Linked DNA regions of Rhinolophus ferrumequinum. The protein of the gene in region 3 interacts with the protein of the main gene of each other region in a pairwise test. Links are inferred from orthologs where the notes say so. Each region holds a gene or a part of one and is shown on either strand. Other genes may lie near its edges. The genes, in order: TNP1, YTHDC1, SDCBP2 and C24H1orf35.

Region 1 (6,007 bases), on a different chromosome or scaffold from region 3:
ATGTGGCTTGAATTGAACTTCTCAGGCAATATCCTTGTTGTCCAGCTCAAACCTAACATAACCACTCGACTAGTAAGAGTATCAAATCCCTTAATAGTTTGCTAACCCTGTCCAATAAATACCTCTGGGTGTTTTCTACCTCTGGGTGTTTTCTACCTCCGGGACATGCCTTTAGTTTTAGTTTCATATGTGTTTTGGTGTCTCCTTATAAGTCCCTCGAAGAAGGTTGTATCCTTTAGCCCATCAACACTCTGATAAATGCAGTTCTCCCTTTTTGTCTCCTCTCCCTTTCCACGTTGGGGAGAGAGACAGCACATTGAGACCAAGACCCAAACCCAAACATGCGTGGCCAGAGTTGGGGCACATGGGGAAAAGGGAGTCAGGGCAGATTACTTTAGTATTTTCCAAGTTATGTTTAATGGTTTCATACCGGCTAATTCTTCCAAGTCTGCCTAGCTCAGGAACCCCTTTTTCAACCAAAATGTCAAAATAAACATACTTTTCAGTTTTCAGAATTTTATTGAGACATTGAGGAGAAACAGCCAACATATACATTCCTCATTTCGTCACGACTGGCATTTTACCCACACGATAGGCTCTTCTCTGGCTTTGATCTAACTTCAGGTCTCCTTGGCAGTCCTCCTGCTGTCCTCTTTGCTGCCTGGTGTTGTGTGAAGTTCACCAGGCCAGAGCCCACTGATGGGGTCACACGTGGGAGCGGTAATTGCGATTGGCTGTGGGAGAAGGACATGTTTGCAACAGGGACACCAGTTAGAACACACCCATTCATAGTCTTCCTGCCCAAACAGTTATTTGAATGGAAATGAGAGTCTCAGGCTGAGATGTCAGGGTCCTAGGAGAGCTAACTCCAAGACAGAGAGCCCTAGGGCAACAAGTCCCCACATGTTTGACTGTTCTACTCATCCCTCACTCACCATCATCGCCCCGTTTTCTACTCTTCAGGCTGCCCTTCCGGTATTTTCTTTTGCTGCCACTTCTCTTGACTCCCTTGTGAGGAGATCGGGTCTTGCCCCTCCTTATGCCATGACTCTTTAATTTGCGGCTGGTCGACATTGCAATTTCTGCAAAAATGAGGGGCTTTGCAGGGCCCGGAGGGCGCGAATCTGGGTATTTAAGGCCTTAGCCATTGTGACTGTGAAGGGGTGTGGCTTATCAGGTGGGTGAGGCTCCATTATGCTGTCACCAGCTTTTGTTACACTTGGGTCATATATGCAAAATAAGGTGGCCCCTCTAGTGCAGCTCAAGGCTACCCTCAATTTTGAGGTGATTTTTTAGGTCAAATGAGGCTTTTCAGACAGGTGTTATTGAGCAACTAAATTTCAGTCCTGTTCGGAGCTTCTGGGGAGTACAAGAGCTTTTAATATAGGTATCTCCTGCCTGCCTGTAGGAAATTTAATGGCTGTTGAGTGCCTGTATAAAATGTGTGTTTAAGTCTCTCTACGGCATTGGGAGATAACAAGTGTGTTTCTATAGGGATTTGACTCTAAGAGATCCAATTCAACGAGATTAAAACATAAACATTCCTTGCTTTCTCCTCGATCAGGGTTTCTCAGCATCAGCTCTGCTGGCATTATGGGTGGAGTCATTTTGTGGGACTGTCCTGTGCAGCGTAGGATGTTTGGCAGCATTCCTGGACTCTTCCCATTGCATGTCAATAGAGTCCCCACAACTGTGACAACCAAACATATTTTCAAACATTGCCTTGAGGGGAAAAGCAAAATCACCCATGGCCGAGAACCATTGACTTCACCTTTTAAAAAAATTCAGTCAGCAAATATTTACTGATCACATAGTATGTGTCACACACTTAGGTGATAAGACAATAGTGGACAAAAACAGACGTACGTAGACTCTGTGTTCATGGAGATTTCAATCCAGTGGGGAAGAAAGTCATTCATCTGATATCTACACCAGTCAGTGAATAATTACTTCCCTACATGGTGCAGATGAGGTGGGAGAGAGAGGCAAACCAGGCTTACGTACATTGAAAAGCCATGGAAAAATATTTAAGATGACATGACGAGATTAGAGGCTGCAGGGGGTGGGGTGGGGGTGGGGATGAATTAATGGAGAAGTGAAGTGAATGAGGGGAGAGGCTATTGTCAATAGTAGAGGTTAAGAAGAGAGAAATATTTGATAATGACTTAGGCCAGGCCAGGGAGGGTGTTGATTGGGATGAAAAAAGACAGGAGACAAAGACTTGGTGTTGATGGGTTGGATTTAGTTGGCGAGAGCAGAGGGTATCAAGGGTGGCTTTTGTTTTTTCTAATGCAGCTATCTGGAGGCTGGTGCCACTCACTGAGATAAAAGCCAAGCATAACGGCAGTGATGATCATGCATTTTAGTCTAAAACATTTTGGGTTTGAGGGGCCCTTGAGATTTCCAAATAAAGATACTGAATGATTGTTGGGTATATGTATCTAGAGTTCAGAGTAGAGCCTGAGCTGGAGATATTCACTATCCCCAACTTCCCTCAGAATGGACTCATCATCCAATCTTTTCTTCTTCCTCCTTTATATCTTGAATTGAGTCCTTTTGAAAAAAAAATTTCAGTGGAACTTGATAACTGTGTCTTCTGTCTCTCCCCTGGGTCCTTCCTTCTCTCCACGCCCCCTTCCCAACCGCCATTATCCTCTGCATCTTGTATGTAGTAGGTTCTCAGCAAAAATTGGTTGAATAAAAGTAAGAATGTGGTTCAAGCCCCACTCCCTGTATTTCTGATGTTTATAGATGAGAAGACAAATCATGTCTTGAAACCCAGATTCCTTGAAGAGCCATCATAAGTGACACTTTCCATTTTCCTGTTTCTAGGCAGGTCTCTCTGGCGAACTTCCATTAGAGATTTTTTCACCCAAAGAGGAAAGAGCTGTATGAAACAGGCTGCTGCCTTGCCTCTTTGTATCTTGGGAACTTTTCTGTCCACTCCAGGCTAATTGTTCCTCCTACAAGCAAGTTTCATGAAAGCAGGAATTTAAAAATGGTGTTCCCGGCTATATATTCCCAGGGCACAGAGTAGGAGCCCAGTGAAGATTTATGGAATATTTGTTGAATAAACAAAAAAATCCTATGTTTTGGACTATCCTAGTCTTCCCAGTTTTGTCCTACCACCCCAAGGAAGACGTCCCTGACTTTTCACATTTTCACTGTCCTTTGAAATTTTTTCAAGGTCTATGGCCCTATAACATTGTCCTCAAAGTCTGGACAACCAATGCTAATGGTGTAAAACCCTCTTTTGTGCCCACATGCCATGTCCCATGTGTGAGTCTGATCTTAACAGGAGGCAGTGTAGCTTGGTTCTGGTCCTGACTGGCCACAACCATCACTTCCCCGGACTTTGGCTCTCTTATTTTGTAAATAAGCTTGTTGGGTTAGATAATCTCAAGTCATATCACAAGATGATATGACTTGTGGCAGGCTTGTTGTAGTTAGGGATTGTATTTTTTATTTCTACACTGCATTTCTCACAGGTATTGACATGGTTCAGAGCAGGTGGTTAATAAATATTTGTTCATTCTAGCTACTTTGGTGTTATAAGGACAGACAGTACAACACTGAGTGACGTGGTATACCAAGTGGATGCATTTCCACTTCCACAGGGAAGGGAAAAAAGACATTGTCTCCATAACAGACCCTCTGGTTCTCCGTTGCTGGCCTCTCATGCCTGACTCTGTTGACTTTCCTCCTCTTTAGTTTGAGAGGCATTTTATGGATGGTCCTGAAACTGGGTAATATTTCTTTCTCCCATCCTCAAAAGACCCACTCTGCCAAGAAGAAGTTGAGATCACAGGAAAGAAGACAGCCAGACTTGAGAAGTGATGAAGAGACAAACAAAAAAGCCCTTTTCCATAGGGTTAAGGAATAGTTCTGGTTTTAGACACCCATGCTGAGAAACTCCAGCAGCAGAAAGCCCAGTGCTGGGGGAGGCAATTCAGAGGCCAGTTGGGGGTGGGGCTCTGGTGTGTTTGGGTTGGCTTCTGCATCAGACCTCCTGAAGTGAGGACAGAGCAGGGTTGAGCATTGGCACCTCTGTCTCTGTTTCTCTTTCCATTTCTGCGTCAGTGTTGCTTGGGCCAATGGCAATTTAGATAGAGCACAATGAGTTCACTCTAGAACCTCAGTGGGCCCAGAGCTAGCCTTTTTTGAGAACCTTCTGCTGACTGTCTCCTCACCTTTCTGCTCTCTGTTTTTCATTTTCTTTTTGGATGAAGAAACTGAGGTACAGATTGGCTACGTGAGCTACTTCAAGTAACCCAGAACAGGAGCAGAAGAGACACCCAATAAACCTGTTTACTCCATACTTTGGCTTTCTGTTGGGTCTTTGCTTTTGTTTCTCTTGATGAAAGAAAATCGATATTTTCTGATAGTTATTGGTACATGGAGAGAGAACTGAATCCCTGCCTTCTTTAGAGGAGGGTCTATCAGCTTCTTCTCTCTTGGGGGTGAGTGTTATCTTGCCTGGACAGAATAGTGTCTTTATCTCCTAGAAGGATGGCTAAAGTGGCACTGCAGGGACGGGCTTGGAGACCACCATTGTTCCCTCTGGCCCCTTTCATAGGTTAGAAAGGGATGGACTTTGGGCATCACTGTTTTGGATCTCTGGTTGGTCCCATCTCACCTCTTTGATTCAAAATCACTCCATTAATTTTTCTGGGGAGTCCAATGGACGTCTTCTTCCTAGGGCTGGATTTTCCCAGCAGGCAGGGAATGGGAGCTCATTAAGCGTGAACATGGAAAAGTTGCTGACAGTCCTGATACATGACTCAGTCTGAATCCCTCTCTGAAACCTAAGTCTCTCCAGATGTTGACCTCAGCTGGGAAAGGGGGACCTTCTCCCCTGTTCACATGCACACCCTGTCTTCTGTGCTCTTGCTGCTGTTGCTGCTGCTGCTGCTATTCAGGCAGGCAAATGGGGCTTGGGCAGTCTTGAGGAGGGGAAAGATGCCTAGAGAGGGGTCTACCCAAGAGGCAAAACTCTCTGAGCTCAGTACTCATCTGGTGTCTCCAGTAGGAAGTAAAGAGAAGCCAGAGCCCAAGGCCTAGGGTGATTTTCAGAGAAAAAGGAAGGCGGTACTTTAACTCAATTTGCCTCTTCCTATCCAGTTCTGGGAAACAAGGGACCATCTCGGTTCTGAGAACAGCCTGAGTTCTGTCTGAAGATTTGTTGGAGTTCTTTCCAATTTTTCCTTCAGGGTTCTTTCCCATCCTTTCTGAGTGCATCCCCAAACTGTCTTTCTGTAAGTGATTCCTGTTTTCCAAGGATAGAGAGATTGGGATGCTGAAAGGTGGGAGACTCATCACAAGAGCTGTGACCCTGGGAGGTTCCTCCTGGGCACCATCCTTTTGGAGGTCATCAGGCCTGTCTAAGGGCTGCACCCAGGCAGCTCGAGAGCCACAACATCAACAATCAACAGGATTGTTGATCCCCAAGACGGAGACTGCCCACCACTCCATACTACCTTCCGTACTTGGCTTAAAAATAGATCTGACCTTGACTCTCCACTCTATTTGCATTTTCTCTTACATGTGCTACTAGGAGCAGAGTGAAGGAATCTAAACTGAAGGGAGAGGGAGAACTGGGAAAAACTAGTATGTTCTTAGAGGCAGGGCATGAACTTGGAGGTCCTCTGGATAAATTTAAAATTCTCATTTGGAGAGAATTCAAACTTCCCTTAGTTCTGTTGTTGTTGTTGTTGTTATTTTTGGACTCAGGAAAAATTGACTATTTCCATTTCTTTTGTCACCACTAACAATGAGGCCACATGATACAGAAGTATACAAAGAAAACCCACAATTTATTCTTCATTAGGATCCAAATAATGTTTTCCACTCTCCTGACCCCACTGACCTAATCCCCATCTATGACATAGTGAAGAAGAAGCTGTCCCTTCCCAGAATACACTGGGAATATAGTGCCCTCCAGCCATAAGACAAAACATAAGGCTGCATCCGAGAGTGTTAGAAATGGGTTGTTGTGGTATGAAAATGT
Region 2 (7,915 bases), on a different chromosome or scaffold from region 3:
ATAACGTATATGCTTTGGAGAGAACTTTATAAAAGCCTAAAATTCATACAAGGTGTTTGTAATATAAAAGATGTGTTTTTCCTCATATAGAAAAATTGTATTTGGAGCAGCCCGGTGGCTCACGTGGTTGGAGCGCGTCGCCGGTTCGATTCCCACATGGGCCATTGAGCTGCACCCTTTATAGCTAAGATTGTGAACAACAGTTCTCTCTGGAGGTGGGCTGCTGTGAGCAGCTGGAGGTCGGCATGGGCTACCGTGTGCTGCCATGGGCAGCTGGTGGCCCGTATGAGAGGTTGGCAGCCAGTGAGAGCAGCCAGCTAGAGCTGCCACCAGCTGCTGTGAGCAGCCGACCAATGACGGAAGACCGACTGCCTTGGGGGTGGTAATGCAAGGCTCATAATACCACGAGCATGGGCCAGGGAGCTGTGTCCTACACAACTAGATAGAAACAACAGCTTGAAGGCGGGGGGGGAATGGCATTTAACATTAGTTACCACCACCAACATTCCAATGTCCTTCAAATCTACTTCTGGGACCAATAATCACCACAGGAATCAGAGGCAGCTGGCAATTTGTCCAGTTATATAGGCTTCAGTTTATAAGTATGGGTACCACAGACCATTATAGAACTTAATGTGTTTATTACACAGCTAATGTGCAAAGCCCGATAATCGAATGACTTTATAACCAAAAGTCTTTTGACTGTTTGGTGATTAATAGGAAATCTCTACAAATTAAACTCATTTCTTATCAAAATCTTACCCCATTTATGAAATCATTTAAAAGGGACCTAAGGTATGTGACATGTGTAAGATTCTTGCAGGGGTTATCTATATAATTTTCTAATGTTTCTTAAAGTAACTGATGACAGTAAGTACTTAGCTTCCCACTTTTTCTTGTTCAAGTATGAGAAGGAAGAGTCAAGTATTGATTCTAATTCTGGCTATTATTCTAGCTGTGTGACAACAAACAAGTAAGTGAAACACCCCAAGCCTGTTTCCTTATTTGCAAAATGAGTTATTCTAGAAATCTTCCCATTCCAAAATTAAATAAGCAATTCTAGTAGGACTGTATTTGCTAGCTTCCCCAGTAATCTAGATAATCTTTGATCTAAACTATAAAGATAAGCACTTATATCAGAAGTTTTAAAATATGTAAGTTCAATTATAGAAATCAAGTTTTTAAAAACTACACAAATGTGAGGCCTTTCAAACACTTGACAATTTATACTAAGTATTGCTAATAAGTGGCATTTCTACTCCCCAATTATAGTTATAAAATTTATGTATTTGAACTGCATTATCATCAATAAATCTGTTTCCAACACAAAATATTCAAAACATCACCCACTTTCCTTCCTCAATGTACATTACTGTGCCTATTACTGATTTATAACTACGTTCATCTTAACAATGAATTCTTCAGAGTGCTGACTTTTACTCATTGTATTTGGTTTTTCACCCACCACAACCACTGTCCATCCACTCCTATACACAAAGCTCACAAGAGTACACTCTGAAACAATCAAACGTTGACTAATTATTATTGATTAAAATTATCTAGTTTAATAACTGACTTTACTCATTAAAAGCAGTTTCCTTTATTCACTAACACCATGCAATCCTATGTTCACATTCTGATTTCTCCAAAAAAATGGGGATGCAGATTTTTTTAGAATTCATTTAAAAAATTAAACTACTATAACCTAATCATTGAGCTGCTTTAAGATAGGAGCAATATCTTAAAAACATTCCCACCCTCTCCCCTTGCCAAACTTGCCCCTATCCTAGAGCAATTTGAAGTATGAAGACATTTAAGGAGAAAACTTAAGAAAAAAGCACAGGCCTAGTGCAACTAGACTCTAGAGCCCATTTAACAAATCCCTACCCCAAATTAATTAGGCACACGGGAAGGTAGGTCTGTGAAATACAGGGCAGTAAACTGTGCAACATTTTTTTCTTTATCAAATACAAGCTTTCCACGACTATCATGCTCATTTTAGGGCTGGAAAAGAACTTAAGGAAGCATCTAGCCTACACCATTCTCCAGACATGTACTGACCCAGGACCTACATTCATTCACATCTCTAGGTCTGAGGTCGGTGTTTTAAAAGACACGAGGTTCCATTCTGATACATCAGTTCTTCCTATATTTCTCCATGATTTTATCCCTCCAGCTCTCTACAAATTACACCCATTTGTTCCCGATTATACTCTCTGGGAGCTACACACAATGTGTTTCCATCAAAATAGTGGCCAGGATTTTTTTTTTTTTTTTTGCCAGGCCTAACTCATACAATTATCTATTTTCAAACGTCATGTCTTCCAAAATAAGTATTCGAGGAACCAAAGGGGCAATTCTTTCCACTTTGCCCATATAACAAAAACAGCTTGAAGTTATTTGTAGGTATTTCTCGAGATCAATAATCCATCCATACGACTTCTTAAATATGCTCACTTACTAGACTACCAGCTTTGATCGTGGCATTAAGGGATTTTGAAATGTAGCCTAACAGAAAAGGATGTGCTGAAAATACGCATTACATACGCATAATCCTGCCAGGAAATAAACCTAAGGGCCTGCAACTCAGAACAGGCCTTCTCTCAGCCGCGCCCAGGACAGCTAAACGGAAAGTGAACAGGAGAATTAGGATCAAAGAAAAACCATAGGCTAGATGAAGTGTTAAGTGAAATGGAGACCGAACGAAAGAGCAGGCCTGGTCTCTTCCAATGAGTTCAAGCGTCTCGGTGTGGGGGACCGGCTCCATGTCGGGAAGCTAACCTCCCAACCCCCATCCCGCAACCCAGAACCGCGGTTCCACCGACCCACTGCCGAGCCCCGCCTCCGCCCGTCACCTTTCCTCGCACTAACCTTTCTCCTCCCGGCTGTCGGCCGCCATTGCTCCTCTCCTGTTTCCGCTGCTGCCGCCGCCGCCGCCGTCGCCGCTCCGACGCGACTCGCGCGGGGGCCCCAGCCGCGGCAGCACTAGCACAGGCACGTCCGTCAGTCCGTACGCCGGGCTGCGCGCTTCGCACCTTGGCCTCCACCACTCACCTTTCGCGACTCACCCTTTTTCTCCCCGTTCCTTCCCTTTCTCCTTTCCCTCCTTGCACTCCAGCCTCCGGAGGCCTAGGCCCAGCCTACCCGTTGAGACTTGGGGACGGGAGGGGGCGACAGGGAGGGTAGGGAAACAGATGGCAACGGCCAGCGGCGCTAAAATGGAGCCTGCTTCCTGCGTGAAACACTCCCGCTCCCGAAATGCCCTGCGCTGTTTACGCTTCGTTCCTCCCTGGGAACGTCACAGTGCGGAGAGGGGCGGGGAAGCGGAACAAGCAAGAGAACGTGACATAACGTCAGGACGTCGCCCCGCCCCCTGCAGCCCGGATGTCCCTGGAATAAGGCTTTCCAGAGATTAGGCTGTGTGAGTTATTTACGGGTAATCGGCTGCGTTTACTGCGTTTAGGTAGCTCGGTTTCCTCACCTGAAACACCTACTGGCGGACCTTCCAGCCTCAGGGCAAAGATGTTTTCTGTCGCTCCGCGGGACTCCTGATTCAGTTCTGGGAATCGAAGATTTAATTAGGACAAGTCTGGCCCGGTCCCTTGGCAGCACCCCACAACTTTACCGGCTCTGGGTACTAAATGTGCTTTCTAAGTTGGTGTGCCGGGCCTTCCCAGATGCAGCTCAGGATGCAACCAGCTCACTTGTCACAAAAACCTACTAGTTTTGTTTTTAATTGGGAAAATGAATTATCTTTATTTTAAAATGGCTTTGTAATTCACATAACAGATTTGATTTAAACATTTATGGGGGCTCTAGGGTACACAGTTGATTTAAACAGACTATTGAGAAATTGAAACTCCTGAAGTGACCAAAAATTACTTAACTACATATTATGGTAAAATCTGCAAGGAAACTTTAAGTTGATTGTCCAAAGGAATGAAAATAATTTTGTTTCACTACTTCATAACTGGCTTTATAAAGGAAATATAATTTGAAGGGGAAAAAAGGTAACATTGTTATATGAAAACAAATGACATGTTCAGAGAAAGTCTAGTGTCTTGGTCCTTGATGGTCATTGTAACAAATTGAGACCAAACTGAAGGCAGTGGAAAGATTTATTTAAGCAGTGGAAGAACACAAATAAGAAACTTCAGTAAATACAAAACCCAGCTATGTATCAGATGCTTAGGATTCAAGGGTGAACAGGCAATACTTCTGCCTTTAAGGAATTTTTAGTGTAACATAGGGAAGAAACAAAGTAACAGGAATTACTGTGTAAGAATAACAGCTAAAAATTGTGTTGTTTACTGTGGGCCAGATACTGTTTTGAGCGCTTGACCTACACAATCTGATTTCATCTTCCAGAAAACCAATTAAGCTATATTACTAGCTTTATTTTACATAAAGGGAAAGTGAAGTGATAATGAAATTAAGTGCAGAAGATCAGGAGTAGTAGTAATATGGCTCAAACCCAGGGAATTTGGCTCCAGCCCCCACCCACTTGATAATACACACTGCCTCATATAGAGTAAGCTCAGGATATTATTGGAGCCCTTAGGGGCATGTCGTTCCGACTGGGGAGGGGATACAGGATAGAGAAGAGTCAAGGAAAACAGAAAATAAAGCCTAGTTGAGAAATAAAAGACTTGGCTTAGATGAAGGGGAGAAAGGGCAAGGGTGGTGGGCAAGATGGTTTTCATATAAAAAGAGTACTAAGTGGCGTATCTGCCCATGGTTCAATTCAGGTTGATATTCAATGGTTAGGTAAGAAGAAGCTGAATCAATAAAAGCGTTGTATAATATTCTACTCTTTTGTTCAGTCAACTAGTATTTATTAAATTCCTTTTCAGTCCCAAATTTATTATAGGCTCTGGGGTTAAAAAAATACATATAGCGTAGTATCTGGTTTCTCTCTTCAAGGAGTTTGGAGTGGTCCAGCAAAAGCCAGAAGCTAGACAAGCAAGGAGAAGGATTCTTCCCTATAGGTTTCAGAAGAAATACGGCACTGTCAACACCTTGATTTCAGACTTCTATCTTTTAGAACTATGAGACAATAAACTTCTATTTTAAGCCACCAGTTTCTGGTACTTTGTTATAGCAGCGCTACAAAACTAATACTCTGGCCCTTATTCGGCTACCAATTTGGATACATGAATACACACACCAGCAAGCTTTGAACAATGAATGAAAGTCTGATGATTTTGAAAGAATTGTTAATTTTTTGGTTGTAATAAGTTATGTTTAGAAAAGAATGTTTATAATTTCATGATACTAAAATATTTACAGGTGAAATGATACGGAATCTGGGATTTACTTCAATATATACTGGTAGAGGGCAGTAGGATATGGGTGGGGGGGTATAGATGAAATAAGTCTTGCCCATGATTTGAAACTGGGTTATGCATATGTGAATAGACATACTCTCTACCTTTTTTTTTTAATATTTGACATTTTCTTTAATAATTTTAAAGTAAGGCAGAGCAAGAGAAACCAGCCAAGAAAATAGAGGTGATATTAAGATGACGTTTTCCCTATTCCATATTTATCCTATCAGTACTAAGAAGTAATTGAAAATAAGCTTTAATGTAAATATCCTATATTTAAATCTTTGATATCAAAAGTTACGTAAAAATACAGCACAACTTCTTAAAAATATGATTTTCTTTCATTATGTTAATAAAAAGGAAAAGTTTTCAAGGTTATAATGGATTGAACTCTAGCCTTGTTGGTTTATTCAAGTCAACGATTGTGTAGTGATAAAGAGCACAGGCTTTGCAGTCACAATGAGCCAGTACAAATTCTGGCTCTACCACTCACAAGCATAAAGACTTAGAGAAATTAACCTCTAATCTTTAGTGTCTTTATAAAGGAGAATTTAGGAATTAGTTTCAAAGATTTGCTACAAAAGGGTTAGAAAAAGGCAGTTAAGTGTTCAATAAGCTGGAGCTACTGTTGTCATTTCTGTAGTTCAGGAAAGATAGATTGTTCTACTAATTATTGTTGGTAAAATTAATCAGAAAATGTAGTATTAAATGACTCTAGATAGATTGGCTTAGTTGGCTTAGTTATGGATGCAGATGATTTCCTAAGTAAAGAGGGGTAAACTGAAAATGTACAGCCAATTCTCTTCAGACTTCAGGGATCATGACAACATTATTTTTAAAATATAATGCAGATTCTGAAGGGTGAAGTTCCTTTTAAATTGATGGTATAAATTCAGAATTAAGATTAACAGAATTTTCGTAGCCATGATGAGTTTTGAATTATTAATATAATTTTATTCCTTTCACTAAATAAATAAATAAAAATAAAATAAAAAGTGCCCAGAGGTAACCATGTGCAGGGAAGAACCACGAAAGTATTACCAGATTTAAGCCACCGTTAAGTTGATACTAGAAGAGAGATACTAGAGCACAAACAAAGCTAGGGAAAGAGCAGTGGTAGAGAACTTTGGAGATTTAGGTCTTCTAAGGAGAGACCTCATCAGTACCTCATCAAGCCCCTGATATCTAGCTGATACACCAGAAAGGCCACACCATAAGAATAAGGACCTTGGCCTAAGGTAAAGTCTAATCATGACCTACTCAAAGACTAAAACCAATGCCCAGTAAGATCCACAGGGAAAACAAAATTTGAAGAGTCTTGTATTTTCAGAAACAACTTGGGCTTTCCCCAGATCTGTACCTATAAAGCATAAATCCAATCTACACAAGTTCAGTGATCAGTCTTCATGTGATTACAGTCCTAATCAACATTTGACTGCAAGTCATGAGCCAGAACTGCCTAGCTGAGTGGTTCTGAAATTTTTGACTCACAGAAACTGAGAGAGATCATAAATACTAAAGTTATTTTTAAGCCATTAAATTTAGGCGTGTGTTGTTACACAGTAATAGATACCTAACACACAATGTCGTATGTAAAAATCAATTGTACTTCTAAATATAGCAACCAACAGTTTGAAATGAAATTTTAAAACATTTACAACAGCATAAAAAAATACTTAAATATACTGAAAACTACAAAACAATGTTGAGAGAAATCAAAGAAGACCTAAATAGAGATACTTACTCATCATGCATTGAGAACTCAGTATTGATGTCAGTTCTCCCTAAACTGACATACAGATTCAAAGCAATTCCAATTGAAATCACAGTGGCCTTTCTTATAGAAATTGACAAGGTGAATTTAAGTTTGTGGGGAAATGAAAACGACCTAGGATAACCAAAACAATTTTGAAAACCAAAACAATTTTGGAGGACTAGCACTACCTGATTTCAAGACTTATTATAGGGCCGGCCCCATGGCTCAGGCGGTTAGAGCTCGGTGCTCCTAACTCTGAAGGCTGCCGGTTCGATTCCACATGGGCCACTGGGCTCTCAACCACAAGGTTGCCAGTTCGATTCCCGCAAGGGATGGTGGGCAACACCCCCTGCAACTAAAATTGAACACAGCCCCTTGAGCTGAGCTGCCGCTGAGCTCCCGGATGGCTCAGTTGGTTGGAACGAGTCCTCTCAACCACAAGATTGCATTGCCGGTTCAACTCCCACAAGGGATGGTGGGCTGCGCCCCCTGCAACTAGCAATGGCAACTGGACCTGGAGCTGAGCTGCACCCTCCACAACTAAGACTGAAAGGACAACAACTTGAAGCTGAATGGCACCCTCCACAATTAAGATTGAAAGGACAACTTGACTTGGAAAAAAAAAAAGACTTATTATAAAACTATAGTAAACAAGACAGAGTTGTACTTAGTAAGACAAAGCGATACATAAATCAATAAAGTGTGACACATTCATACTCAGGCCTGAAATACAACATGAATTGCATAGATAATTTGTATTATATTCATATACAGTTATGCAATACAGCATTAAAAATGAACTAGAGCTACTTGTCCGAACGTGGTTAGATTT
Region 3 (6,920 bases):
GATGTCTGAATCCTCAGTGCTGAGCCCAGTGCCTGCACCCAGCAGGCATCTAGGTACTGTTTTTAAGGGAGTGGAAAAGCAGATACAGGGAAAAGAAAGCCCAAAAAAGTCCTTTGGAAAAAAAAACCCTGGGCCTAGAAAAGGAGAAAAATCACTGGGTTAATGAAGCAGATTGAAAGGCTACCTCCTACAATCTGACGATGGAAGAGTGCTCAAGAGTTTTCTCAGTTTGGTGCTGATGGATTCCTGCAATTTGCCTCTGAAAGGAAAAGAACCCATCTAACCCATCTCTCCCAGAGAAATTTTCCTCACCCACTGCATTTTCCAGAATTTTCCTCCCTCAACTTCTGTACTTTTTGATATTATGAGCAATAACAATACCCAAGCCAGCAATCAGGTCCTCAAAGATCAGCAGGGCTGAAGCGGGGTTGTCAGTCCCCATCTTTGGACTTGGAATGAGAACACTCCTCTGGAACACTTTGTTCCAAAGAGCTGAAACTAGGGGACTCCCACTTGTTCCTGTGGACAACTCATCCATCCTTCAGAAGACTGTGCGGGAGGGATGCGTAGGTTAGACTGTCAGAGGAATAGCTCCTGGAAGGCCAAATTAGCCCAGGGAAATGGTGAGTCGGAAAGAAAGAGGCTGTTGCTAGGCCACCAGTACATATCCACCACCTCCTCCCAGCGTGTACTGCCTGCTGGAGAAAAGCTGTGGACTTCTTCAGGAATGCAGACACCCCCGAATCCAGGCCCAGGAGAAATGGCAGGAGCAAGGACCTTGGAGGGAAGCAGGGAGGACCGGGTTCAGATTGCTGCCTCTGACTTGTGAGAGCAAGCATGGACAAGTCCCTTTTGAATATCATTTCTTCTTTTGTAATATAGATAACAATACTTGCATCACAGAGTTATTGCGGAGAGTAAAAGATTCTTTAAAAGAGATAAGCTATAGGGGCGGCCGGATGGCTCAGTTGGTTAGAGTGTGAGCTCTGAACAACAGGGTTGCTGGTTCGATTCCCACATGGGCCAGTGAGCTGCGCCCTCCACAACTAGATTGAAGACAACAAGCTGCCGCTGAGCTTCTGGAGGGGCAGCCAGATGGCTCAGTTGGTTAGAGTGCGAGCTCTCAACCACAAGGTTGCCGGTTCACTTCCCACAAGGGATAGTGGGCTGCGCCCCCTGCAACTAAAGATTGAAAATGGCAACTGGACTTGGAGCTGAGCTGCGCCCTCCACAACTAGATTGAAGGACAATGATTTGGAGCTGATGGGTTCTGGAGAAACACTGTTCCCCAATATTCCCCAATAAAATTTATATTAAAAACAGAAAAGCTATGTGTGGAAAGCACTTAGCACCGTACCTAGCACATAAAGGCCACATAAAAGCCATGCAGTAATCATTAGCTGTTGTTTAGCTGTTGTTCGTTCAGTACATTTACTGAGTGCCTAAGTCCCAGTACTGTTCTAGGTACCAGTAATAAGGGGTACCAGTAATAAGGCAGTGAACTGGGGCTGGCCTGGTGGCTCAGGCGGTTGGAGCTCCGTGCTCCTAACGCCAAAGGCTGCCGGTTCGATTCCCATATGGGCCAGTGGGCTCTCAACCACAAGGTTGCCGGTTCGACTCCCGCAAGGGATGGTGGGCTGCGCCCCCTGCAACTAACAACGGCAACTGGACCTGGAGCTGAGCTGCGCCCTCTACAACTAAGACTGAAAGCACAACAACTTGACTTGGTAAAAGTCCTGGAAATACACACTTCCCCAGTAAAGTCCTGTTCCTCTTCCCCAATCTGCCCTTGAGGAATGTTGCTTTCTAGCTGGATAAATAAGTGTGTATGCTGTGTTAGATGGTGGGAAGTGATGGGGAAAAAGATAAGGGAAGATGTAGGCCAGAGAGCTTGGGGAGGTCCAGAGAGCCTCACTGCTGGGGGGTGAGGGGTGACAAGTAAAAGCCTAAAGGGTAGGGAAGAGCATTCAGTCTGAGGGCAGAGCCACTGCAGCAGCCCTGAGGTGGGAGTGCTGCGTTTAGGGAACATCTGACCAGTGCGACTGAAGTCGGTGTTTCAGAGGGAAAGTAGCAGGAGAGGAGGTTGGGGAAGTAGTGAGAGGGGCCAGATCCTGGAGGGCTGTGGGTCACAGCAACGACTTCACATTTACTCCAGTGAGATGGGAACCACCAGAGACTTGAGCACCAGAGTGATGTGGTCCAACTTTCATTTTAACAGGCTCCCTCTGGCTAATGTTTGGAGCATAGACTAGAGGAGCCAGCGTGGATGCAGGGAGTCCAGGTGGGAAGTGATGGCGGTGTAAGGATAGTTATTAGTTTGGGCCCCTGCACATAAAGCAGCCAGTGCAGTGCCCGCCTGGCACATGAGCCTTGTTCTAAGCACTGTTTCTGGGACTCAGCTGTGTGGAGGGCACATCCTGGCCCCTTATCTCCATTCTCTCATTCAGTTCTCCTGACGGGGGATATTTCCAGTCTCCAAATGAGGAAACCAGTTCTTAAAGAGGTTAAGCCACCAACCCAGTTCCCCAGCACGTTTTCCTTGCGTGGTAGGGAAGTTGTTGATAGAAACAGCTTCAGGCAGAGAAGTAGCAGACTGGCACTCTCAGTTCCTTGTGAAAATTGGCTTTTTGCCTGGCCTTTCAAGGAGCAAAGAAAGGTGGGTCCCATCTCCTTGAGCACCCTCAGAGGCAGTCAGAAGGAGCCTGGGGCCATCGTCTGAATAAATAACCTCTCATCCCTCAAACCTGGCCCAGGGCTGGGGTCAGAAGAGGAACCCCAGTTTACACATCACTCCCAGAGTGAAGCACCTTGAAAGGAAACTGCCTGGGAAGTCCCAGGAGGGGGAGACAGGGGGAGAGCAAGTCTCTCTCATCGCAGCCCAGCCCATATGGGGGCCCCGGATCTTACCTGCAGGCTAGAGCTGCTGCACGTCCTTCTCCTGCCACTGCTGAGAGAGTCTGTTTCCCTCCCTGGAAGGTGGTGGCCCTTGTCCCAGCTGAGTTCCTGCTCTGGGAAGGGTGGTGCCCGCTCCCTGATCAGCTGACTCACCCAGGACTGGGACAGGCCCAGGTAGTTCTCTGTGGCTGGGTAAACAGCAGGTCACCAGGCCCAGAGGAGGACTTTTGGCTTAGTCTAAATGTGGAGGCGCGGTAGCTGTTGAGTTTGAACTAAGCTGTCTTGGTGTTGAGGAAATCATACTTGGATCAGACGCCAGTCCTGAACATGAGGGCAGTTTTTTGAATTTCCACAGTCTTAAAAATTGTGACCCAGCATTTTCTCTTCTAGGAATTCGTTACAAGAAAATAAATAGGTAGGCAGTGAGGTCCCAGGGCCCACCACCATGTTGCTGATAATAGGGAAATCTAGAATCCCAAATGCCCATCACAGGTGTGGTTAAATAAGTGTCTGGAATATCAGCACAGCTATCAGAGTCATTTAAGGAAGAAGCCATAAGGAAGTGGCCCTGAGACACTGGCAAGGTACTGAGAAATCAACATTGTGATACTGTGTTTTGTTTTCGTTGTTTGAAAAGTGGGTATGTATTGAAAACAGTCTGGGAGGGCATATACTAAAATGCTGAAATCTGGATGGTGGGATTACGGGTAGGGTTTTTGGCTTGTGCTTTTGGATGTATTCCAAGGTGGGGGTGTTGTTTTGTTTTGCTTTGAATGCTTATGATTTTTGTAAGGGGAGAGCAAATTAAATTTAATTGTTTTAAAAAGGAATTCAGATTGGTTGTCCCCAGTAAGGGGAACTGAAGGGTTGTGTGCTGGGTGGGAGGGGACTTTTTTTTTTTTTTAATAGCACACATTTTAGTGCCTTTTACATTTTGAAAAATTTGTACTACTGAGCCCAAAAAATAATCATATAAAATTAAACAGAAAAGGGGGAGGGATTTAATTTAGGTCCTGGTAGGTTCGGTTGTACAGAGGTGACTGTCACACATGGTGCCTGGGAAGAGACTGGGACCACGTGCTGGGAAGTCCCTTCCGAATGACACAGGGCGCCCCACTCACAGGGTGGGGTGAGTGTCAGGGCTGCTCAGCAGGCCAGGCAGGCCCAAGTCACCGTCCCCAGGACAAGCCTGGGTGGAGTTGCACTAGCTTTGGGCACCACATCCTGACCAGGGGCCCAGCTGGTGTCCGGCCCCATGGGAGGGGATAACAGGAAACATAACAGGAACAGTAATGGCAAGAAAGGCAGTTGCCACTAATTGAGCACTTTGCCCACCGAGCAACAGATACTGCGTCAGGTGCTTTCAAGGCAGCATCTCCGTGGCTCCTTTCATCCCTGTGAAGCAGGCGTGAGAGGAGAGTCCCTCCGTGTTACACAGCTGGAAAGTGGCGCCAAGGTCACGTTTTCTCTTCTGTGAGACAAATGCCACTTGAAGCTGAGGTGTGGACACACGCCAGGGCTGAGCCACATGGTCCTGGAACATGAGGTAAACCATGGTGACAGGTCTTGAAGGCCAAAGAAAAGTATAAAACAGACACCCTGACAGAACCAAGTGACATCCCCCCACATACACACACAGAGACCACAATTCATTCAGCCATGTTCTGAAAGGGCCTTTAAGAGAAGAAGGAAAAGGACTTGCTGTGGTCATAGCACATCAGCATAGACCTGGGACCAGGTCCCAGGTCCCCGAACCCCACCTACGCGGGGCTCTCTTTCCATTCCGTGGTGTTCTAGCCACTCCCCTGACTTCACCCTGTTCCAACCACCAAAAAGTACCTTTCATTGGGCATAACCTTGCTCAAAGTCTTCAGTGGCCCCCTATTAAAGGGTCAAATCAGGTGGGTTAGGGTCAGAACTAAATTCCCAGGCCTGACATTGAGGCCTCCGTGGTCCCCACCCCTCTCCCGCCCCTGTGGCCTTTTCAACCTTGTCCCTGGAGCACCTCTACCCCAGCCAGACTGGAATCCTCTCCACTCACACCCGCTTCACACCTTCATACCTTTGCCTGGTGCTGTTGCTTCCAGTATGTCTCCCCCCTGCCCCCACTCCACCTAGCCAAGTCTTCTGAGCTCCTCTTCCAGGAAGCCTCCCTGGTTGTCCCCGTCATGTGGCCTGTCCTGCCTCTAAACTCTGGATCAGACTTTACAGTTCGTTCTTCAGTGGTAATCACCTTGTGTTCATGTGGAGTGTAGACTGTCAGCTAGACCCTAAGTTCCCTGAGGGCAAAGCCTAGTTATTAGATCTACAGTGGTAATTTTCAAAGTAAAAGTTGGAACCTGTGCTCTGACCGGGATGTATTTCTGCTTTCTTACACTTTTTTATGAACAATCTTCAGAAATCTAAAACACGGGTGTCTACTATTCAGCCTACACGCAGAAATGCCCTAACAGCACCCCTGGCAGACCTGAGTAATCAGCCACGGTACTCTCCGCCAAGCCCAGGGCTGACTCAGTCCTCTTACAAGAATGTCACAGGCAGCTATTGCCACCTGGATTTGGCCCATGAAGTGAGACCTCTGTGCCACCCAATGGATGCTCCATGAGGACAGGCTTTTCTGTGGGGTTCTTATCCCTAGGGCCTGGCACACAGTAGGCTCAGTAAGGTGCAGTAAGTCTATTGAACGAATAAATGCCCCTCCTAGAAAAGCCAATCCCAGTTATAAAGGTAATGGCTGGCTTATTGAGGAGATAGGCTGGGCTGGGCGGGGGCATCAGGTCCGAGCCCCAGATCGGATGCTGCAGTCACCACACCTCTGAGCGACAGTTTCCACATCTACAAATGGGAATATTGGCACCTGCTTTACTGACTTGTCCTGAGGATTATTTAGTCAGTACAGCACCTAGGACGCAGCTGGCACTCAATAAATGTTAGTTTCCGACTTCTTCATGGAATCAGTCCAGCTATACGCTATAGAAATACAAGTTATCTGCAGGTGAAAATGCTCTTACCTGAAGAAGGGGGGATGAATGGTTGGCTGCTGGGTAGAGAGAAGCACCAGCGATGTGCTCCTACCCTCTACGTGGAATCTGGACGGTGCAGCAAAACCCAGGTTATGTCCCCATGGCTGTATCGTGCCATCAGATGATGACAGGGAGAGTTCCCCTTGTTGAGCAACTTCTCCACGTTGGGTGCTGTGCTGGGTATGGGATGTACCCTGATCTCTGTTCACAGCAGCCCCACATTCAGAGGGAGGCAGCCTGCCCAAGGCCGCACAGCCCGAGTAGAAAGGCCAGGTCTTGACTAGGAACTGAATGGGGCTTCCAGGGCTCCAGGAGTCTCCCATCGGGCACCGCTGGGTCCAGGTGGTCACAGGTTTCCAGGTGGTAGCCGAGGGCCCTAGTGAGCAGAGGCCCAGCGGGCTGATGGCTCACACTCCCTCACACGTGTACCCCACTTAGTCCCACCTGGTACCTCAGCCCCTATCAGAGATTCCAACTTGTAACACCGTACCCCAAGGGGACATCCTGAAGGGGGCACAGCTTATTGCATGAGCTGTGGAATCCCAGGCTGCCTGGGCTCAAATACCTCCTCTTAGGCTATGTGACCTTGGGCAAATGACCCTATCTCTCTCGGCCTTGTTTCCTCACCGGTGAGATGGGGAGAATGATTTCATTTTGTTTTTTTGTTTTGTTTTGTTTTTTGGGGGGCACAGAGAAAGTACTTGCTTAATGCCTGACTCATGGGAAGTGCTAACTAAATTTGAACAATTATATTTCCATCCACGTTATTGGATTATTGCATTGTCCAAGTGACAAAATGTATCCATTACTGTTCTAAATGTGATTGAAGATCAAACATACAGAAATTACCTGCATCCTTTCAGGATCATGAGTTTAGGTTGGACTCTCCCTGCGATGGTTACTATAGAAGCTTCCAGCGAGAGGCAGGCTAGCACCCTGAGAGGCCCCACCGCCTGGTGGCCCAGCCATCTGGGCCCTCACCTCCTCCGTTCTTCCCCTTCA
Region 4 (7,773 bases), on a different chromosome or scaffold from region 3:
GAGAATCAGGGCTGAGGCTCTAAAGACAATCATTTTTAGTTTTTATTTCTTTAAAAATCAGAAGCAAAATTGAATATATTTCATAAGTGAATCCAACTTGGGTTTTGTCTTTACTCCGATGCAGATGTAAGATTTAAGTTTTTATTTCTTCTGTGAATGGGGTGGTGAATGGCTAAAACACACCTCCTGGCAGAAGAGCTGGGGGGGGCACCTGGAACTCCACCCAACCTGGGAGCAGCAGAGCGGACTCAGCAGGCAATTAGGGCGGCATGGGACCAGGGCAGGAGGTGCCTGGGGAATGAGGGTGTCTTCAGGTACAATTCCTGCCCCCCACCCTCCAACTTACAAACACCCCATCTGGCTGCGCCTCTCTGCACTTGCCCACCTGCAGCTGAGTCCCTCCACCCTCCTGCACAACAGGAAGTCATCCTCCCTGTGGGGTCTCGGGTGGTCTTGCTGGAACCCAAGGCACTTGCCACATTTTCACTCATCACTTTCTATTGGAGGACACGACAACCTTCACTTCAATATGAGACATTTTCCACTTAAAATAAGTTTATTTAAATACAAAAGGAGGGTCAACACAAAAAGCAGTACATGGTCACAGCTTAGACTCTTGGGACCTAGGGAAGCTGGACCTGGGCAGCTGTGTGGGCCTGTGGCCATCTGAGGTTGAGGCCTCACCCAGACACCTTGCCTGCTTGCAGGGCCCCCACAAGTCTGCCCTCCAGCTTCCTGGGCCTGGCAGGGCACATGCTGAGGCTTCCCTGAGGGCAGCACTTGGCTGGGGTGGGCTGAGCCTGTCACTGTCGTGCCCTCACCGCCTCTTAGAGCAGGGCGAGGCCGAGTCGGAGTCGTGTCTACGATGGCGGGCCCTGGGGAGAGCAGGGGATGCCCAGTGTGAGGGGCCACCCACTGTCTGGCCCAATTTCCCAGGGCCTCCAGGCAGAGCTGCTGCACCTACCGGGCATGAGCCGCGGACAGTGAGGAAGCTGCCCCCGTCCTGCGCTCCCTTTCTCTCTTCTCTTTCTTATGCTTCTTCTTCTTCTTCTTCTTTTTTCTGCTCTTCTTGTGGCTCTCAGAGCTGCAAGGGGGATACAGAGTGCCAGCAGCCGCTGGCCTATAGGGGTCTCACAGGGTGTGGGGCCTACAGGCTTGTGCGGGCCACCACAGTAACCACTGACCCATCCTCAGTATCACATGACCAGCAGCTAGCATGGTAGGGGACACAGATAGGGGCCTTTTCATGGCCCCTTTTAACACCCTCCCTGCCAGGTGGTGTGCTCTCCTGAACCCCATACGCCTCACTCGGTCTCCAGAGCCCCTCCACCCTGCAGCTCACAACATGGTGCTGCCTGACCTCAATGGACACGAGGCCTGGGACTGCCCTGGGGTCACAACCTTGAGAGGTTCCCCAGAAGGAAAAGGGATCTGGAAACAAAAACATCACCGACTCGAATGGGAGCCAGCTGTGCAGAGAACCCCGAGTCCTGTGGCACTCAGCCAGCCCTTACCCCAGCTCTGCCTTCGCCTTCTCCTCCAGCCGGGGCTTCTTCCGGGACGGCGAGGCCCCTGGGCGACTGCTCTCCATGCGGTGGTGCTGCCGAGGGAGCCACTCTTGGAGGCGTGCAAGATTCCCCAGGGAGAACCAGACCCGGTGTCCTAGGCCAAGAAGCTGGGAGGGCCCCCGAGGGGAGACGAGAGACAGCCCATACCCTGGCCCTCAACGGGAAGAGGTACACAGACCCGGCCACGAGATCCCACTTAGAAGTGATTACCGTGAACACGGAGAGCCCCAGCTTAGCCGCCTCCTTGTCTTCTCGGGACAACACCACTCGGCCTGCGGAGCCACTGCGGGGACACGGGTGAGACCCTCCCCCGTAAGACACCTCCCCCAAGGCCTCCTTAGCGGGTACCACCTTCCACCTAGGCAGCTGACAGGTCCGAGCCCCTAAGAGCTGCACCCTGGCGCTTTCTGAGCCCCCGCCCTTCAGGAGCACCCCCGGTGCACACCTCGAGCTCCCCAGGCCCAGGAGCCGGTCTACTCCCTTCTCTTCGGGGTCACCACCTTCCCGCTTGCAGACCTCCACAAAGTCCTGCGGGAGGGAGGGCGGCACGGGTCAGCCCGGTCCCAGACCGTCCCACCCCGCCCCCTCAGGGCTGCTCCTCACCTCCTTGCTCAGGCCGGTGGGCTGCTTCCTCACGTTTTTGTAGCCTCTGTAGGACCGCGCGCGAGCGTCACGGGCGGCGGGCCTCGCCTCGGCCCCCCGCCGCGTCCCCGCCCCTCGGAGGTCCCCAGCCCCGGTGCACTCACAACGCCGCCATGAGCGCCTCCTGCTCCGCCTGCCTCACGGCCGCTAGCTCCTCCTCCCGGCTCAGTCCCGCGCCGTCCGCCCGGCCCTTGGCGTACCAGGTGAGGTCGCGGCCCTTCTGCCAGCGGCCCACCGGGGCCATCAGCGAGTTGCCTGCGAGGACGGAGGCCAGTCCTTGGCGCGAGGGTGGGCGCGCCCCCGACCCCCGAGACCGCAGCTCTGCGCCCCACCACCCCTGCGTCCCGCACCCCCAACACCCGCGCTCACCCAAGTAGTTCTCCCTCTGCTTGTCGGTCTTCACGTCCTCCCAGCTGAACTGGTCCTGTCCCCCGCGCACGCCGCCCCGGCTGGAGCCGAACATGGTGCACGACGACCCTCCGCCCCCGGACCTTCTCCCCTTCCACCGCGGCGCCTGCTCCGGCGCCTACGTCGCTCGCCGTAACGTCATGCCCGCGCCAGCCGCGTCGCCGTTCGCGCCTGCGCACTGTCCCCACCCTCGCTCGCGCGTGCGCAGCGCTCCGGACCGCGCGGGCAAAGCCCCGAAGCTAAACCCGAGACCAGCTGGCACGACCGCCGTTATAGAAGTCACGTTGTGTGGTGACGCCAGGATCCAGGGTCGGTGCCCAAAAGTCACAGTCTCTGGTGTGCGCCGTGTGCCGGATCCAGCAGACGGGCAACCCCGGAGAACAGCTGGAGAGACAAGTCTCCAGCTGCACCAAGGTTTCTGCCATCACGTCCGCGGCTGTGGGAGCCAAGGGGTGGACACGGTGTGGGGACCCTGCTGTGGTCACAGGGGCGTGGACGCACATGGCACTGCTCTTGGTCTGCAGCAACGCCGGGGAGAAAGTGCGCCCAAGCCCTGGCAGAGGTTCCACACGAACACCTGCTGCTAACTGCTGATGGCTCAGCGGGCTGGTCGACGTACAAATGCGTCTCGCCTGTCACCATCGCTGGTCACAGACCGGACTTGGAGACAGCGGTCTAATGGTCTAATTACCATCCCCTGCTCTACACTGTCCTTTGTACGGGTTCTTACAGGAGGCTGCTCTAGCGTGTCCCGCTCACGAGACCCCAGGTACTCAGTGGAGGACAACGAAGAGTCCCTAACTGCTCTCCTGACCCGCCTCCCGTTGACTCCCTCACTTGCTTTTGAGGTTTTGGAGCTCCCAGTGACAAAGTAACGGTTTGAGCCCCAACCCTGCCCTGCACTACCACTAAGTCAAGTTTTGGTCTCGGTTTCCCCACATGGGAGCTCCAGACCTGTCCCTGCACCTAGTCGGGGGCTTCCAGCATGGGACAGCAGGTCCAAAGCCACAGGTGTGCCCTCTGCAGGGTCCCAGCTTTGCTGCGGTGGGAAACGTGGAGCATCACAGGGCAGCTGCGGTGGGTGAGAGCTGTTGCAGAGGCAGTACTGCCATGCCCGACAAGGATGAGATGCTGGTAGAGGGGCTTGCGAGGCACTGGGAGCGGCAGGGTCAGCTCTAAGCCTGCTACCCCATCTCACCCCAGCCCGCTGCCCCCTGGGGAAGGCCCAACCCAGGTCTGGATACTGGGGGTCACCAGTGTCCACTGCAAAGTAACCTCCCAAGGCGGGTGACATGACAGGACGCAGGCTGCATCAGAGAGGCAGCAGGGAGGTCCCACCCCCAACAAAGGAGTACAGATGGGATTCTGCTTGACCACTCAGGCTCTCTAGAGCTCTCCAACCAGGCCTTGGACCTCCGGATCCATCTCTGCACTGCCAGCTCTGGTAAGAACCCCCACCCTCCGTATCCAGTCTGGTTCTTCATTCCCCGTGGACATCTGATCTGCCTGCCTGCATTCAACAATTCCATTACACCCAAAATATACTAAATATCAACTAACTGTAAAAAAAATAAAACAAAAAACACCAACAATCCCATTAGGTGGGTTTAGCCAGCACTCCCACTGGGGTGGGTCCTCTTAGTAACTTCCCATCAGCAACCCCGTCCTGCGCCTCACACAAATTTCCACTTGTCAGAGTAGTACTCAGCCTCTTCCCCCCCACTGCGCCCATAGCCACGGCCGTACTCTGGTAAGGCCTGCCTTGCCACCTTCAACGAATGTCATGAATAACTTGGCCCTAAACAGCAAGTACAAACACTGCTGTTGGGCATCTCTCAAGGTACTTGGTGAGCAGGGAGTTGGGGCAGCAGCTGGAAGGATAAGGGCTCCGGGAAGGTCACCCACGTGGGAATGCCCCTGAGCAGGCCAGAAGGCCAGCAGAGCCTGCAGGGCAGACATCCGCAGGAGTTGCACACAGCCAGCTGGCGTGCTCAGTGGACCAGCGGGAGGACTGCAGCTAGGACCGGGTGCTCAGCCCAGCATCCTTCCCTGTGAGCCGCCATCAGAAGCGGGGTTACTTCCCACAGGCTGCTGCCTCCCAACTCATGCCTGGAATGCCTTCCCCACCATGTAAATGGCAGCACTCTATCATGGGCCCTCAAGGTTTAAAGAGCCTAACAGCCAGGATCCCACACTCAACCCCTCGGGATAGGATGAGGTGCAGGCCTGGGCTGGGTCACCTGCACATGAAAGGTTGGGAATTGACCCCTCAGTTCTTGCAGGAAGCCCAGCCAGCATGAAACCTACCCCTGAGGCAGACGGCTGCAGCCCACTGTGGAAAGAAAGTCTGGCTGGTAGGTAAGATCTGAGAGCAGTTAGTAACAGGGCTGGCCGCACCCCTCGGCCCCTCCCATGGGCCAAGCACCTTCCCATTGCGAGCCGACAGGACTGAGGAGCCCAAGTGAGGGGCAGGGCAGGCAAGGTACAGGATAGGCACACATATCCTTGGATCCTACCCACTCCCCAGTTGCTGTACCCACTGAGAGGGGGATCCAGGGCCCAGAGGGTTGCTGGGCGGTAGCGGGCGCTTCCGACAGTGGGAGGAGCACCCAGGACATCAGTTATGTCCACAGCTCATATGCCCTTTGAGGACTGTCCTAAAACCACAATTTGACCCAATTCTAAGCCCACCAGGGGGCTCGGAAGCAGAGAACCCGCCTCCAGCTAGTGCATGAGAAGAAAAGACTAGGTGGTTTTAAAATGCTGACATTCCATTGAAAGATAAACACCCTTCCCCTTCAGCAGCATCACAGGCGAGGGCAGCTTGGGGACAGGGTCACTTCTTGGTCCAAAACTGCTTGTACTGCTCCAGGTCAAAGTTATCACTTAGCTCCGGCTCCTCCTCCTTGTCTCGGAGCTGGGCCTCACGTTTGCGGAGCCGCACCCGCCTCTCTTCTGGGGAGAGAGCGTCCAAGTCCACTGGCATCTGTGGAGGGAAGACGTGTACTCAGCGGAAGGGACCAGAAGGGTCTTCGGACCTCCCCTTCTCTCCCTTCAAAGCTACGCTTTAAAAAAATTTCTTCTGCTTGTTTACTCAGGACGTGTTTTTTTCTGCATACAGCCTGTTGCTGCTGTCTGAACTTGGCGCATGGAATGAGCTGTGTCACCCTCCTCCTCTCCATAACAATCCTGCTCTGTCACTTGCCAGCACTCCTCTCTCCCTTCTAGCCACAGTGATTCTGAGCCCAATGGGACCTGCACCCCAAGGAGGGAAGCTTACCGCCAGTATCCGTCTGGGCTCCCGGTAGCGGATGTTGATGGTGGAGCCGTCCTGCTTGACCAGAAGCACAGGGTAGAGGCGAGCATAGGCCTGTCTGTGCACACGTGTGAGCGAAGCTCTGCTGCTGTCAGCCCACCAGGCGGATGTGTGTAGGCAACGGCACACAGGGACGGCCCCTGTCACCACACACTGCGGCAGCAGGCTGCAGACACATACACTGGTCAGCGGCAGGTCAGCTGGACCAGAGCGCCCACGTAGCCCAGGCCAGCCAGCGCATATTGGAGCACGCAGTGACCCCCAAGATGTGGAATGTGGTCAGAGCAGCTCCTACCCCATGTCTGGGAAGAGGCTGCAGGAGCTGAGCACACAAGGCTCCCAGACAGCTGTGGACAGAGGGCTCAGGCCAGCAGTCTCTGGATGTGTGGAACCCTGGACATGAGCATGGAGCAGGAAGCTGCCTTCCAGGGACGGCAGACCTGGTGCTGTGGACCGAACATTTGTGCCCCCAAATTCACATGTTGAAGTGCTAACCTCCAATAAGATGTCATCAAGAGCAGGGCCTTTGGGAACTGATTAGGATTAGATGAGGCCATGAGAGTGGGCCCCCCCAGTGGTACTGGTGCCCTTATAAAAGACAGGAACTCGCTTGCTCTGTCTGCCCTGTAAGGACACAGGGAGAAGGCGGCTGTCTGTGATCCAGGAAGAAAGAGCTCCAGAACTGTGGGAAACAAGCTGCCTGCTCTTTGATGTTCTGTTGGGGCAGGCTGAGCACACCAAGACCCCTGGAAGCCACTCAGCTTCTGAACACGGTTGACACTGAGACCCGCACACGGCAGAGCACATGCTCTGAGATGACAGGAAAGGGCAAGGCCCACCGTCCACCTGTCGCACCCACTTGGGGCCTTGCCCTGTGACCCCCAAAGTCCCCTCCACTCTAGCTTTCAAGCAAACTTGGATTCAGACCCACCCCCTGTACTTCCCAGCTAACACTGGGGGCGGAGGGCCCATCTCTTCTGCTAGACTCTAATGGCCAGAGGGCAAGAACTGCATCTTATTTACTGTTAAGTCCCAGACCCTGTTGAGCTGAGCGCTCAATAAATTTTGGCCAAATGAATTCAGTCCCTGCCTTGAGAAGTGCAAGACAGGAGAAAGGAGATGGTGGTGTCCTCCCACTATAACAGTGGTTCCCACTTGAACCTTTACCAGGATGAGGGCCCCCCAGGGAACACTGCTGCCAGAGTCCCTTCCCCTCTCCACACTGACTCAGGCTTCAAGTGCTGCACCCCTCTTCCCATATTCCACAGAAACAACATGAATCCTGCCCTCATTTCCTCCTCTGGCAACACTGGCCACACTATGCTTCCCATTTGGGGGAGGCCAGAGGACCAGGGCACTGGGCAGATGGGGAAGCAGTTCTGGTGGGAACAGCAGGAAGGCCACGGCCCCTACAGGGACCCAGAGCTGGGCTCGGCTGTAGGTTCTGAACAGGAAGGTGTATATCTGGTGCTGGGAAGTCAAAAGTCGCTTCCATTCTTCCCTTGACACCTTGTCAAGTCATCCACACGTGAACTTGCGCATATTATCCAAATAAACACACTGGCTCAGGAAGCTTCCTTCAGGCAGCACGGCCTGAAGCCCGAGTGGGTGTTCCTTTGGGTGGCCCCATGACAGCAATCCCAAGGGGTGTGGAAGTTTGTGCTTACCCAAGCCGGCTGCTTATGGCTGCCATTCCTCCTGAGGGCCCCTGAGGTATGTGGAGGCCCACGGTCAGTCACAGGCGCAGCGTGAAACCTGCTGGGCAAGGAAATCTTTTTAACAGGCAGGCTTTTCTACCTAATTGATCCTCCTCAAACCCTAGCCCGGAAGAAAGCCACA

The links.
Region 1: the proteins of SDCBP2 (region 3) and TNP1 interact in binary tests that used the Homo sapiens proteins (3 or more experiments, as listed by UniProt). The two-hybrid records come from large-scale screens. The link is inferred for Rhinolophus ferrumequinum from reciprocal best matches to the Homo sapiens genes SDCBP2 and TNP1.
Region 2: the proteins of SDCBP2 (region 3) and YTHDC1 interact in binary tests that used the Homo sapiens proteins (3 or more experiments, as listed by UniProt). The two-hybrid records come from large-scale screens. The link is inferred for Rhinolophus ferrumequinum from reciprocal best matches to the Homo sapiens genes SDCBP2 and YTHDC1.
Region 4: the proteins of SDCBP2 (region 3) and C24H1orf35 interact in binary tests that used the Homo sapiens proteins (3 or more experiments, as listed by UniProt). The two-hybrid records come from large-scale screens. The link is inferred for Rhinolophus ferrumequinum from reciprocal best matches to the Homo sapiens genes SDCBP2 and C1orf35.

What each region holds. Positions count from the first base shown.
Region 1 is NC_046291.1:18,127,631-18,133,637, reverse strand, and holds TNP1 (spermatid nuclear transition protein 1), read right to left. Parts: upstream 1,099-6,007; 5' UTR 1,075-1,098; coding exon 936-1,074; intron 735-935; coding exon 706-734; 3' UTR 508-705; downstream 1-507. UniProt on the Homo sapiens protein: Plays a key role in the replacement of histones to protamine in the elongating spermatids of mammals.
Region 2 is NC_046288.1:27,395,434-27,403,348, reverse strand, and holds the start of YTHDC1 (YTH domain-containing protein 1), read right to left. Parts: upstream 3,005-7,915; 5' UTR 2,900-3,004; coding exon 2,872-2,899; intron 1-2,871. UniProt on the Homo sapiens protein: Regulator of alternative splicing that specifically recognizes and binds N6-methyladenosine (m6A)-containing RNAs.
Region 3 is NC_046306.1:24,039,473-24,046,392, forward strand, and holds the start of SDCBP2 (syntenin-2), read right to left. Parts: upstream 3,011-6,920; 5' UTR 2,908-3,010; intron 1-2,907.
Region 4 is NC_046307.1:1,636,130-1,643,902, reverse strand, and holds C24H1orf35 (multiple myeloma tumor-associated protein 2), read right to left. Parts: upstream 2,810-7,773; 5' UTR 2,674-2,809; coding exon 2,580-2,673; intron 2,466-2,579; coding exon 2,315-2,465; intron 2,218-2,314; coding exon 2,172-2,217; intron 2,097-2,171; coding exon 2,014-2,096; intron 1,852-2,013; coding exon 1,779-1,851; intron 1,676-1,778; coding exon 1,515-1,675; intron 1,085-1,514; coding exon 965-1,084; intron 876-964; coding exon 818-875; 3' UTR 523-817; downstream 1-522. Other genes in the region: MRPL55 (39S ribosomal protein L55, mitochondrial), read right to left, coding at 5,455-5,604, 5,899-6,100, 7,602-7,627.